Saccharomyces cerevisiae S288C: one gene and its partners. The gene in region 2 interacts genetically with the main gene of each other region. Each region holds a gene or a part of one and is shown on either strand. Other genes may lie near its edges.

The links. A genetic interaction does not mean that the proteins touch.
Region 1: mutations in PRB1 (region 2) and WSS1 together harm fitness more than expected from each alone (negative genetic interaction), as found in Saccharomyces cerevisiae (2 studies listed by BioGRID).
Region 3: mutations in PRB1 (region 2) and ODC1 together harm fitness more than expected from each alone (negative genetic interaction), as found in Saccharomyces cerevisiae (2 studies listed by BioGRID).

Annotation. Positions count from the first base shown.
Region 1 is NC_001140.6:370,070-373,058, forward strand, and holds WSS1 (metalloendopeptidase WSS1), read left to right. Parts: upstream 1-1,679; coding exon 1,680-2,489; downstream 2,490-2,989. Other genes in the region: IGO2 (phosphatase regulator), read left to right, coding at 1-380; NSG1 (Nsg1p), read right to left, coding at 653-1,528; serine/threonine protein kinase YCK1, read right to left, coding at 2,625-2,989. UniProt on the Saccharomyces cerevisiae protein: Metalloendopeptidase that acts selectively on DNA-binding proteins. DNA is needed to bring the protease and substrates together to enable proteolysis.
Region 2 is NC_001137.3:37,830-44,861, reverse strand, and holds PRB1 (proteinase B), read left to right. Parts: upstream 1-2,908; coding exon 2,909-4,816; downstream 4,817-7,032. Other genes in the region: phosphoacetylglucosamine mutase PCM1, read right to left, coding at 1-1,610; HHY1 (Hhy1p), read right to left, coding at 1,902-2,210; SOM1 (Som1p), read left to right, coding at 2,238-2,462; kinesin motor protein CIN8, read left to right, coding at 5,325-7,032. UniProt on the Saccharomyces cerevisiae protein: Vacuolar proteinase B involved in protein degradation in the vacuole. Among other substrates, acts on carboxypeptidase Y (cpY/PRC1) to activate it by processing its Pro-peptide.
Region 3 is NC_001148.4:298,071-301,391, reverse strand, and holds ODC1 (mitochondrial 2-oxodicarboxylate carrier), read left to right. Parts: upstream 1-1,888; coding exon 1,889-2,821; downstream 2,822-3,321. Other genes in the region: gluconeogenesis transcription factor RDS2, read left to right, coding at 164-1,504. UniProt on the Saccharomyces cerevisiae protein: Transports C5-C7 oxodicarboxylates across the inner membranes of mitochondria. Can transport 2-oxoadipate, 2-oxoglutarate, adipate, glutarate, 2-oxopimelate, oxaloacetate, citrate and malate.

The DNA.
Region 1 (2,989 bases), on a different chromosome or scaffold from region 2:
CACCTACAAGCAGCAGGGTGGATTTGAGCAATCCTCATGGGTTTACCAAAGAGGGAGTGGATTTATCGAAGCTGTCACCACAAGAACTAAAATTGTATAAAATGTATGGGAAGCTTCCATCCAAAAAAGATCTGTTAAGACATAAGATGCAGGATCGTCAATATTTTGACAGCGGAGATTATGCATTGAAAAAGGCCGGAGTCATTAAGTCGGATGACGTTATCGTGAATAATTCTAGTAATAATCTACCAGTGACCAATCCTAGCGGTTTAAGAGAGTCTATTATTAGAAGACGTATGAGTAGTAGTAGTGGTGGCGATTCTATCTCGAGACAAGGAAGTATCTCAAGTGGACCTCCACCAAGATCTCCAAATAAATGACTAATGAAGGAATGATATTATGTGGTATTACTTTTTTTTTATCATCACTAGCTTCGGCTAAGCCCTTGCATTTTCAATATTCAATTACCAAATAATATATATATATATATATATATATGTATGTATGGTATACCTTGTGTTACTGATGTGTTTTTTGTTGACGTCATCCTTTTGATTTACTCACATGCTTAGTAAATGAAGGTTGTTGAGGCCTAAAAATCAGCTAAGATTTACACATCGATACTAATCATTGAACGCCCCTATGGGAACACTTAATTGAATAAATATCTGCCCAACTTGCTGAACATCAAAAACCCAAAAAAATAGAAATCTATAAAATACAACGCCAGTGACAACTGCGAGAAACATTGTGAGCAAGTGAACGCACTAAGGGCACCAATTACTAGACCTGGGAAAAAAACGGTTAAAGTGCCATCAAAGAACAACCACAGAACAATGTTTAATAAGCTCCATGCACCAGCTGCCTGCAAAGAGGAGGACCATTCAAGTTTCCTAATACCAAATATTAAGCCCAAAAGAGTATTGGCACATCTTATAAATGATCCTAGGGTGTTTTTGTAAACTGATGACCTGGTTTTTGGCTGGTGTTGATAACGAACGAAAGAGTCAATGAATGGTACTATGGAACCAAAGATAACACCTTCAGTACCAAATACAGCCCAATCAGGCACCATGTCAGGTTCCGCGACGATCTTGTTCTTAATTTCTATACCATGCTTTAAAAAGGATACGATATCTCCCTTTGCCAATTGGTCATTATCAAACAAACATTCTGATATCATGGGGAAGAGTATTCCTGCTATGAATAGAATAAAAAATGCAGCAATAGTATTGATTATTTTCGCATACAATGACCTTTCGTGTCTCGCAGTCGCGGATGGCGGAACCATTTCCAATTGAGAGGCGTTAGACAATAAAGCCTTGTCATAAACATTACCTTCATTCTTGGTAATATCGTCATCATAAAATGAAAACAAAGCGGGCTTAGTCAGCGTATTTATAGCTGTAAAACTTGCGCTTCCCAGCTTATTTCCCAAAGGTGGCAAAGCTGCCTCTTTCTTGGTATTATGGACACCATTAGGAACACCTCCAGTGTTTAATTGGTTCTTACTCTTCTTCTTGCCCATTAGTAACCTCCTCTGTTTAAATTTTTTTTTTCTCACTTGCTCTGAATACCAAAAGGTGAGTTTGGTGAAGAAATTTTGACACTTTTTCTTTTGCGCTGTATTTTGTAACAACGCATATTTTGAAGATATTCTAAATAAGAGAGATTGATTAATGAAGACAGAAGGAATAAAAAGCCCATCGGCAAAATACCATGATATGGCGGGCTCCCAGAGAATCCCTCACAAGAACCCGCACATTCAAAAAGTGGCTGTTTTGCAAAGTAAGCCCAATAAGGAAGATGCGCTAAATTTAATAAAGGAAATCGCACATAAAGTTTCCTATCTAATGAAGGAAAATCACTTCAAAGTGACCAACTTGGTGGAGTTTTACCCACGTGATCAAAGACTCCTGGGAATGAACGTCAACCATGGATCTAAGATAATGTTACGGTTAAGATGCTCCACGGATGAGTTCCAATTTTTACCCATGGAGTGTATAATGGGCACCATGCTGCACGAATTAACTCACAATTTATTCGGTCCACACGACAAAAAGTTCTACAATAAGCTAGATGAGTTGATTGGAAGGCAATGGGTTATTGAACAAAGAGGTTTGTACGACACATTTTTGGGGAACGGTCAACGTCTCGGTGGAAGAGCAAACTTACGTTCAAATAGATATCCTATGACAGGAATAAGTACTAACACAGGGATAGTGAGAAAAAGGGGCAAAGGTGTGAAGTTAGGGAGTTTGCATCCAGAGGGTATATCATCTATAGATAGAGGTAATTCCCCGAGAGAGTTGGCGGCTTTTGCAGCCGAAAGGAGATATAGAGATGATCGCTGGTGCGGAGAGACGAAGAATAACAAAGATCAAATAATAAGTGATAATATTAGCAGCTCCTTAGAAGTTGTAATCCTTGATGATGATGACGAGGTACTCCCGGGAGATACTCTTATCGAAGTTATTGATCTCACTTAATCTCTTGTCCACAGCGAAGAACTCGAAAATTATAAGTATGGTAAATGTCGTTTCGGTTGTAAAGTATACAGATATATTCACATTACAAAAAATGTAAGAAAGACGGTAGTCTTGCAAAAAATGTCATTTCTATATTTAGCAACAACCTAATTTTTGGAAAAAGCCCTTATGAGAAGCAGCTAGACTTGAATTATCGTCATTTGGGTGCTGTTCAGGAGTTCTTAAAGCAGCAGAAGGTTGTTGTTGTGGTTGATAACGAGCGCCAAACTGCTGAGATTGAGTTTGCGCTTGAGGCTGAGATGGAGGTTGGCCTGTTGCACGTAGCTGTTGCTGTTGCTGTTGCTGCTGTTGCAATTGTTGCTCTTGAAGTTGTTGCTCCTGAAGTTTTTGTTGCTGCTGTCTCTTTTGTTGTTCTTGCAGGTATTTCTGCTGGGTTTGATGCTGGTAAGCTTCATAAGAAGTAGGGTCTAACTTTGGTTTATATTGAGAATTGCGCATAT
Region 2 (7,032 bases):
TTACATTCCGCATAAACCCTCACCGCATCCTCCGTACCACTGGCTCTGACAAAGCTTCTTCCCATGGGATACTTGGCTACCACAAGATCTATCTTGTCTTGCAACCCCACTGGATTGAGCAATTTTCTTTCCTGGTCCGTGGTTTGGAAAATTGACCTATCAGGAACGATGCACTTAACCAGCTTGTTGGGCAAATCAGTATACTCTTCATCCCAATCCATTGGCGACATTTTCAAAATCGCCAAAGTAGCAAGGACAGCAAGCATGTCTGAAATAGCATCTCCCACGGTCTGATTAATCAATTCAGAGAAACACTTCAAAGTTCTCAAAGCTAACGTATCACCATTTAACTTGGACTTGGATAATTCAGATTTGATAGTTCGATGAAATTTTTCGCTGAATATAATCGTACCATGTCCATTTGCTTCGAAATAAATGCCAATATCGTACTGAGTGGCAGCTTCATGATGCAAGTGTTTAACACCTGTCTTAGTGCAAGACACGGGACAGTGCAACGTATTTTTTATGTAAGCGGTGGAACTGCCGTTTGCATAGGCAGTTTGCACAACACCAATCTTCAAAGAATGTTCTAGGTGTGCCAATTCTAGTTGTTTAGACAAGAACTTTGCAAACAAAGTGGAAATTTTGTCACCATCCAACAAATGAAATTTTGATCCTGAGTCGACATAGTAGAACACAACCCTGTCTGCGTCACCATCAAAGGAGCAATATAGCGAATCAAACGAGGATGGAGAAAGACCCTTGGGTAATCTCTGGTTAGTCTTCACATAATCCGCACCGCATTCAAAATTCAACAGTTCTGGAACATCGGACCTGTCGTTGATTACCTCAACTTGCTCCGCTGGCACGTCCCAATCTTCGGAGGCCAGTAGTTTTTTCAACTGTGGACCACCGATACCATTGGCTGTGTCTATGAACAATTTTGGGACAGACAGCCTCTTCTCCAGCTGATACGTGGCGAAGAGCTCGTTGAAGGCTCCTATAAAGAACGAATAGTAGTCCTGTTCTGTGGCAACTGGCGCTGTGTCTCCTTCCAGTTTCCGCCTGTTGGACAAATCAGTAATGTAATGCAATTGAGGCGTAGTGACACAGCCTAGGTCCAAAACTTGCGCGTGGAAGACGCTGGCCATGGAGGAAGTCAAGCAGCGCAGCAAGTATGGACTACTTTCCCTAGAGTCTCTCCCAACCACGATGTGAGGCACGACGGTTGTATTCAAATCAATCTTTTCGTGTTCAATCAGCTTGGCCAACTCAACACGAAATTCTTCAAAATTAGTGGCAAAAGAGGCCGCATTGGCCAACTGCATGGCATATGGCTCCCATGTGGCCAAAAGCATCGATCCGTCTGGTTCCACGATCTTGACCCCGTTGTCCTGGTATGGGTTGTGCGACGCCGTGATCATCACCCCCACATACTGACCCTGAAGCTTCAGCGACCTGAGAACCGCCAGTATACCAGTACTGAACATCACCGTATCCAAATTCTTGGCCAGCGTTCTGAATCCGGCCGTACCGTAACTGAACTGCACATTCTTTGTGCGGCACGTGTCATCGTAGAGTTTGCACAATTGCTCGTAATCAACCTTCATCGTCTCTAAGCTTACTGCTGACCTTTGCCTTGGTCCTTGTACTTGTCTCGATTGCTGAAACCATTAACGGTTTTTTGTTCTTACTTAATCTTTTTTTTCCCGACGACGCAAAATGTCAGAAAAGATATAAATAGAGCAACGTTTCCTGCTACATGAAACACGCTGGCATATAGAAGAACTTCAACGAGCGAGGCTCTCTGAACAATCTGCTAATCGTGCAAGTAAGGGTTCTCGTGACAGTTCACCGTGTATAAACAGATAAACAGATAAACAGTCAGATATGCTTAATTTTTAACTGTAGGCTGTGCCGACATGCCATTTTATGCGGCTCACTTCTAACAAAAGTGACCATGACGCACAAGCAAGCAAACAGCCAAGTAAGGAAGCAGACAGCTTCACAGCACACACACACCGTTGTGTACGAAAATCCTCTGCAGAAGAGTGTATATGCCACTCATCCACACTTCCGCAGCGCAGTACGTAATGCGGTATCGTGAAAGCGAAAAAAAAACTAACAGTAGATAAGACAGATAGACAGATAGAGATGGACGAGAAACAGGGGGGGAGAAAAGGGGAAAAGAGAAGGAAAGAAAGACTCATCTATCGCAGATAAGACAATCAACCCTCATGGCGCCTCCAACCACCATCCGCACTAGGGACCAAGCGCTCGCACCGTTAGCAACGCTTGACTCACAAACCAACTGCCGGCTGAAAGAGCTTGTGCAATGGGAGTGCCAATTCAAAGGAGCCGAATACGTCTGCTCGCCTTTTAAGAGGCTTTTTGAACACTGCATTGCACCCGACAAATCAGCCACTAACTACGAGGTCACGGACACATATACCAATAGTTAAAAATTACATATACTCTATATAGCACAGTAGTGTGATAAATAAAAAATTTTGCCAAGACTTTTTTAAACTGCACCCGACAGATCAGGTCTGTGCCTACTATGCACTTATGCCCGGGGTCCCGGGAGGAGAAAAAACGAGGGCTGGGAAATGTCCGTGGACTTTAAACGCTCCGGGTTAGCAGAGTAGCAGGGCTTTCGGCTTTGGAAATTTAGGTGACTTGTTGAAAAAGCAAAATTTGGGCTCAGTAATGCCACTGCAGTGGCTTATCACGCCAGGACTGCGGGAGTGGCGGGGGCAAACACACCCGCGATAAAGAGCGCGATGAATATAAAAGGGGGCCAATGTTACGTCCCGTTATATTGGAGTTCTTCCCATACAAACTTAAGAGTCCAATTAGCTTCATCGCCAATAAAAAAACAAACTAAACCTAATTCTAACAAGCAAAGATGAAGTTAGAAAATACTCTATTTACACTCGGTGCCCTAGGGAGCATCTCTGCTGCTTTGGTCATCCCAAATCTTGAAAATGCCGCCGACCACCACGAACTGATTAACAAGGAAGATCACCACGAGAGACCCAGAAAAGTGGAATTCACTAAGGACGATGATGAGGAGCCATCTGACTCTGAAGATAAAGAACATGGAAAGTTCCATAAGAAGGGCCGCAAGGGCCAAGACAAGGAGTCTCCGGAATTCAACGGTAAACGTGCAAGTGGCTCTCATGGGAGCGCCCACGAGGGAGGAAAGGGCATGAAGCCTAAGCATGAAAGTTCCAATGATGATGATAATGATGATAAGAAGAAGAAGCCTCACCATAAGGGTGGCTGCCACGAAAATAAGGTGGAGGAGAAGAAGATGAAAGGTAAGAAAGTCAAGGGCAAGAAGCACCACGAAAAGACGTTGGAGAAAGGGAGGCACCACAACAGGCTGGCTCCTCTCGTGTCCACTGCACAATTCAACCCAGACGCGATCTCCAAGATCATCCCCAACCGCTACATTATAGTCTTCAAGAGAGGTGCCCCTCAAGAAGAGATCGATTTCCACAAGGAAAACGTCCAGCAGGCACAACTTCAATCCGTAGAGAACTTATCTGCCGAAGACGCTTTCTTCATTTCTACTAAAGACACCTCCTTGTCCACCTCTGAGGCTGGCGGTATCCAGGACTCATTCAACATCGATAATCTTTTCTCCGGTTACATCGGTTACTTCACCCAAGAGATTGTCGACTTGATACGTCAAAACCCATTAGTAGACTTTGTTGAGAGAGACTCTATTGTCGAGGCTACAGAATTTGACACTCAAAATAGCGCCCCATGGGGGTTGGCCCGTATTTCCCACAGAGAGCGCCTCAACCTGGGGTCCTTCAACAAGTATCTCTACGATGATGATGCCGGTCGCGGTGTCACGTCCTATGTTATTGACACGGGTGTCAACATCAACCACAAGGACTTCGAAAAGAGAGCCATTTGGGGGAAAACCATCCCACTTAACGACGAAGATCTCGACGGTAACGGCCACGGTACCCACTGTGCCGGTACTATCGCTTCCAAACACTACGGTGTCGCTAAAAATGCCAACGTTGTTGCGGTGAAAGTCTTGAGATCAAACGGGTCTGGTACCATGTCTGATGTCGTCAAAGGTGTCGAATATGCCGCAAAGGCGCACCAAAAAGAAGCCCAAGAAAAGAAAAAGGGGTTCAAAGGTTCCACAGCCAATATGTCGCTTGGTGGTGGCAAGTCCCCAGCTTTGGACTTGGCTGTTAATGCAGCCGTTGAAGTCGGTATTCACTTTGCCGTGGCTGCTGGTAACGAAAACCAAGACGCTTGTAATACCTCCCCAGCTTCTGCTGACAAGGCCATCACCGTCGGAGCTTCCACGTTGAGCGATGACAGAGCCTACTTTTCCAACTGGGGTAAGTGTGTCGACGTTTTCGCCCCAGGTTTAAACATTTTGTCCACCTACATTGGAAGTGATGACGCCACCGCCACTTTATCGGGTACCTCAATGGCTTCCCCTCACGTTGCTGGTTTGTTGACCTACTTTTTGTCTTTGCAACCAGGTTCTGATAGTGAATTTTTCGAATTGGGCCAGGATTCTTTGACTCCTCAGCAATTGAAAAAGAAGCTAATTCATTACAGTACAAAGGACATTTTGTTCGATATCCCTGAAGACACTCCAAATGTTTTAATCTACAACGGTGGTGGTCAAGATTTGTCCGCTTTCTGGAATGATACCAAAAAGTCCCATTCATCTGGTTTCAAGCAAGAATTGAACATGGATGAATTCATTGGATCAAAGACCGATTTAATCTTTGATCAAGTGAGAGATATTCTTGATAAATTGAATATTATTTAATTCTTCATTTAGAAAAATTTCAGCTGCTTTTTTTTTTCTTTTTCTTTCCTTAGGCGTCTCGAGGTTACAAGTCGGAGTCCCTCTTCACTATCGTTTGTCCACTTTTTTTATATCCCCATTATTTTCAATCTGAATTTCATTTTTTTTTTTTAATTCATGAAATTTATATGTCCCACGTATTACTACATATTTGCGTTTTTAATTAAATAAATAACTGTTACTTTTATTATATCTTATTTGCAGATCACTTATCTGATCAAATGTTTTCGTTTTCGTGTGTGGTGACGATGTATTAGGTACGCGAAATAAACAAAACAAACAAACAAGGCCGCAACAATAACATCATCTAAAGACTTCCTTTGTGACCCGCTTCTCAACAGCGGGTGTAGAACTTATGGTATGGCCAGAAAGTAACGTTGAGTATAGATACAGAAGCAAGCAATTCAAAGGAAAAAGTAATAAAAAGTATATAAAAGCGCAAAAAATACAACAAGAAAGAATTTGTTTGATGCCAGCGGAAAACCAAAATACGGGTCAAGATAGAAGCTCCAACAGCATCAGTAAAAATGGCAACTCTCAGGTTGGATGTCACACTGTTCCTAATGAGGAACTGAACATCACTGTAGCTGTGCGATGCAGAGGAAGGAATGAAAGGGAAATTAGTATGAAAAGCTCCGTTGTGGTAAATGTTCCAGATATTACAGGTTCTAAAGAAATTTCCATTAACACGACGGGAGATACCGGTATAACTGCTCAAATGAATGCCAAGAGATACACAGTGGACAAAGTCTTCGGTCCCGGCGCTTCCCAGGATCTAATTTTTGATGAAGTGGCGGGCCCATTATTCCAGGATTTCATTAAAGGTTACAATTGCACCGTACTGGTATATGGTATGACGTCAACAGGTAAAACATATACAATGACGGGCGACGAAAAGTTATATAATGGTGAATTGAGCGATGCAGCAGGAATTATACCGAGGGTTCTTTTGAAGTTGTTTGACACATTGGAACTACAACAGAACGATTACGTAGTAAAATGTTCGTTCATTGAACTCTACAACGAAGAATTGAAGGACCTCTTGGACAGCAATAGCAACGGCTCTAGTAATACTGGCTTTGACGGCCAATTTATGAAAAAATTGAGGATTTTTGATTCAAGCACAGCAAATAATACCACTAGCAACAGTGCTAGTAGTTCCAGGAGTAATTCTAGGAACAGTTCTCCGAGGTCATTAAATGATCTAACACCTAAAGCTGCTCTATTAAGAAAAAGGTTAAGGACAAAATCACTGCCGAATACCATCAAGCAACAGTATCAACAACAACAGGCAGTGAATTCCAGGAACAACTCTTCCTCTAACTCTGGCTCTACCACTAATAATGCTTCTAGTAACACCAACACAAATAACGGTCAAAGAAGTTCGATGGCTCCAAATGACCAAACTAATGGTATATACATCCAGAATTTGCAAGAATTTCACATAACAAATGCTATGGAGGGGCTAAACCTATTACAAAAAGGCTTAAAGCATAGGCAAGTAGCGTCCACTAAAATGAACGATTTTTCCAGTAGATCTCATACCATTTTTACAATCACTTTGTATAAGAAGCATCAGGATGAACTATTTAGAATTTCCAAAATGAATCTTGTGGATTTAGCTGGTTCAGAAAACATCAACAGATCCGGAGCATTAAATCAACGTGCCAAAGAAGCTGGTTCAATCAACCAAAGTCTATTGACGCTGGGCAGGGTCATAAACGCACTCGTAGATAAAAGCGGCCATATACCTTTCCGTGAATCGAAATTGACCCGCCTGCTTCAAGATTCCCTGGGTGGTAATACGAAAACCGCACTAATTGCTACTATATCGCCTGCAAAGGTAACTTCTGAAGAAACCTGCAGTACATTAGAGTATGCTTCGAAGGCTAAAAACATTAAGAACAAGCCGCAACTGGGTTCATTTATAATGAAGGATATTTTGGTTAAAAATATAACTATGGAATTAGCAAAGATTAAATCCGATTTACTCTCTACAAAGTCCAAAGAAGGAATATATATGAGCCAAGATCACTACAAAAATTTGAACAGTGATTTAGAAAGTTATAAAAATGAAGTTCAAGAATGTAAAAGAGAAATTGAAAGTTTGACATCGAAAAATGCATTGCTAGTAAAAGATAAATTGAAGTCAAAAGAAACTATTCAATCTCAAAATT
Region 3 (3,321 bases), on a different chromosome or scaffold from region 2:
AATGAAAAATAGTTGAATATTAGAAAAAAGGATGAGGTCTCTGGGATGGAAGAAGAAAGTAATTCTTATGAGAAAATTTGCGGGAGTTCTTTGCCAGTGAGATAAAGTTTTTTTTAATTTTAATCAACACAAAATACACATATTTATATAAACTGACGAAATAATGTCAGCAAACAGTGGTGTAAAACGAGCCAGTAAGGCTTTTAAAACATGTTTATTTTGTAAACGGTCACATGTTGTATGTGATAAGCAACGTCCATGTTCTAGGTGCGTCAAGAGGGATATTGCCCATTTATGCAGGGAAGATGATATTGCGGTTCCAAATGAGATGCCATCACAGCACGAAAGTTCTCCGAATGATAATAATATACAGGGCAAATATGCAAATAAAGCACACACTGGAATTCCGTCTGACTATCAGAATGAACCAGTCAATAAAAGTGGATCCACATATGGAGAGGAACTGTCACCGAAACTAGACTCCTCTCTTGTAAATGATACAACCAGCTTGCTGCTTCCGCAACAACCTGTATTTGTGTCCGAGAATGTTGGTTCGGAATTCAGTTCTTTGAATGAATTTCTTTCTATGCTAGAAAATCCTCTATTGACTCAAACATCACTAAGTTCCAGCAGTGCGAGCAATGTTCATTTGGAAAATGGCTCACAAACCACACAATCGCCATTAGAGTACCAAAACGACAATCGTAGGGATGAAATAGGAGTGGCAAGACAAGAAAATAGGTCGCCTACTATTATGTCAGGTTCTTCCAATAGTATCTCGAAAGGGGATAAACAAGATCAAGAAAAGGAAGAGTCTCGAATTCTAGCGAATGCAAACGAAAACAGTGCACCGACACCGAAGGAACAATTCTTTTTAACAGCGGCGGATCCGTCAACAGAGATGACACCAGAACACCGGCTGAAGTTGGTCATAAATGCGAAGCTTGAAGCAGGATTATTGAAGCCGTATAATTATGCCAAGGGGTATGCAAGACTACAAGACTACATGGACAAATATATGAATCAGTCTTCCAAGCAAAGGATTCTGAAACCACTATCCACCATTAGACCGGCGTTTAGAACCATTGCGCGTTCATTGAAGGATGTTGACTTAGTTTTAGTGGAGGAGAGCTTCGAGAGGATGTTATTATCTTATGATCGTGTTTTCACCTCTATGAGCATGCCAGCGTGCTTGTGTAGGCGTACCGGTGAGATTTACAGAGCCAATAAAGAGTTTGCTTCACTGGTTGACTGCACAGTCGATGATTTACGCGATGGAAAGCTTGCGATCTACGAGTTGATGACAGAAGAAAGCGCTGTGAATTTCTGGGAAAAATACGGGTCCATAGCGTTTGATAAGGGTCAGAAGGCTGTTTTAACAAGTTGTAGTCTTCGAACCAAAGATGGAATCCGCAAACGGCCATGCTGTTTTAGTTTCACTATCAGAAGGGATAGGTACAACATCCCAATTTGCATCGTCGGGAATTTCATCCCTTTGTCATAAGCATAAGTAATACATAGTAGGTAATTGGTATTTCCAGCGTCATTAAAAAGCAAAGTAACGGGTTTACTTTTTCCTCAAGCCGCTGGCCCGAGCAGTTACTTGAAATAGCCGTATTACTACGAGCAATACGAAGACCTTTTTCTACCAGCATTTGTTTTTTTTCAAATCATTCCCATTATTACCCCAGGATCTTTTCATAATGCGGCGACCAGAGATAGGGAAAAAAACTGCGAACTGGCTGAATCTGATTTGGCGAAGGGCAGATTCTCGGGTATTTCTGTGAGGGTGACCGCCGTTGATATATATCAGTGACTTTTGGGAACCTTTATCTCATTTATTCTCAAGATAGAACTGTAACGAGGGTGAAAGAAAAAGAACTGTAAGATGACATCTATAGATAATAGACCTTTGCCGTTCATATACCAGTTCACAGCCGGTGCCATTGCCGGCGTCTCGGAGCTATTGGTGATGTATCCATTGGACGTGGTGAAGACAAGAATGCAATTACAAGTGACAACCAAAGGTCATCCCGCTGTTGTTGCAGCGAAAGCAGCAGTAGATCACTACACGGGCGTGATGGATTGTCTTACAAAAATTGTGAAGAAGGAAGGATTTTCGCATCTTTACAAGGGTATCACATCGCCTATATTAATGGAGGCTCCGAAAAGAGCAATTAAGTTCTCCGGAAACGATACATTCCAAACGTTTTATAAAAAGATTTTCCCCACGCCCAATGGGGAGATGACTCAAAAAATCGCCATATACAGTGGTGCGTCCGCTGGCGCCGTGGAAGCCTTTGTCGTCGCGCCTTTTGAACTAGTGAAGATTAGATTACAGGATGTGAATTCACAGTTCAAGACACCCATTGAAGTTGTAAAGAATAGTGTTGTGAAAGGTGGTGTTTTGTCACTTTTCAATGGGTTGGAAGCCACTATCTGGAGACACGTTCTTTGGAATGCCGGTTATTTCGGTATAATATTCCAAATTCGGAAGCTTTTGCCGGCGGCTAAAACAAGCACGGAAAAGACCAGAAATGATTTGATCGCAGGTGCTATTGGTGGCACTGTCGGGTGCTTGTTGAATACACCATTTGACGTGGTAAAATCTAGGATCCAAAGAAGTTCCGGGCCGCTGAGGAAGTACAACTGGTCCCTGCCTTCAGTGCTGTTAGTTTACCGTGAGGAAGGGTTTAAAGCATTGTATAAGGGATTTGCGCCAAAGGTCATGAGACTTGCCCCCGGTGGTGGGTTATTGTTGGTAGTTTTCACGAACGTCATGGATTTTTTCAGAGAAGTCAAGTATGGTAAAAAACAATGATCCTGACGCTTTTTATTTCATTTTGTTGTAGCCCGCCCATACATGTATACGTATATATATATATATATTTATTGGAAGTAAAAGTAAAAAACTCGCTTACCTAGCACATGTTTAAACAAGCGTTGAAATGAAGGAAATAATGAAAGTCTAGTTTTGTCTAGCGATAAATAGTGTTAATTAAAACAGCCTTTTACAACTAAAGAATATTTATATAATAATGATGCCATATACCACACATGGGAAAACAAATATATAAGGGGGAAGTGGGAGGATGAAAAAAGAGTAATGAAAATACTAGTAGTACCAGGTGAGGTAAAACAAGCACGTCCGTCCCGCTTTCACCCTGGAGAAATATATCTAGGAAGATATGCATGAGAAGAGGGAGAGAAAGGAAATGCTAGATTAAGGGAAAGAAATATGACAATATTAATGAGAAACATCCATGCTTGCACAAATTAAGTCCAACTTGTTGATTAGTGAGGGTTTGATCTTGTTCTTGT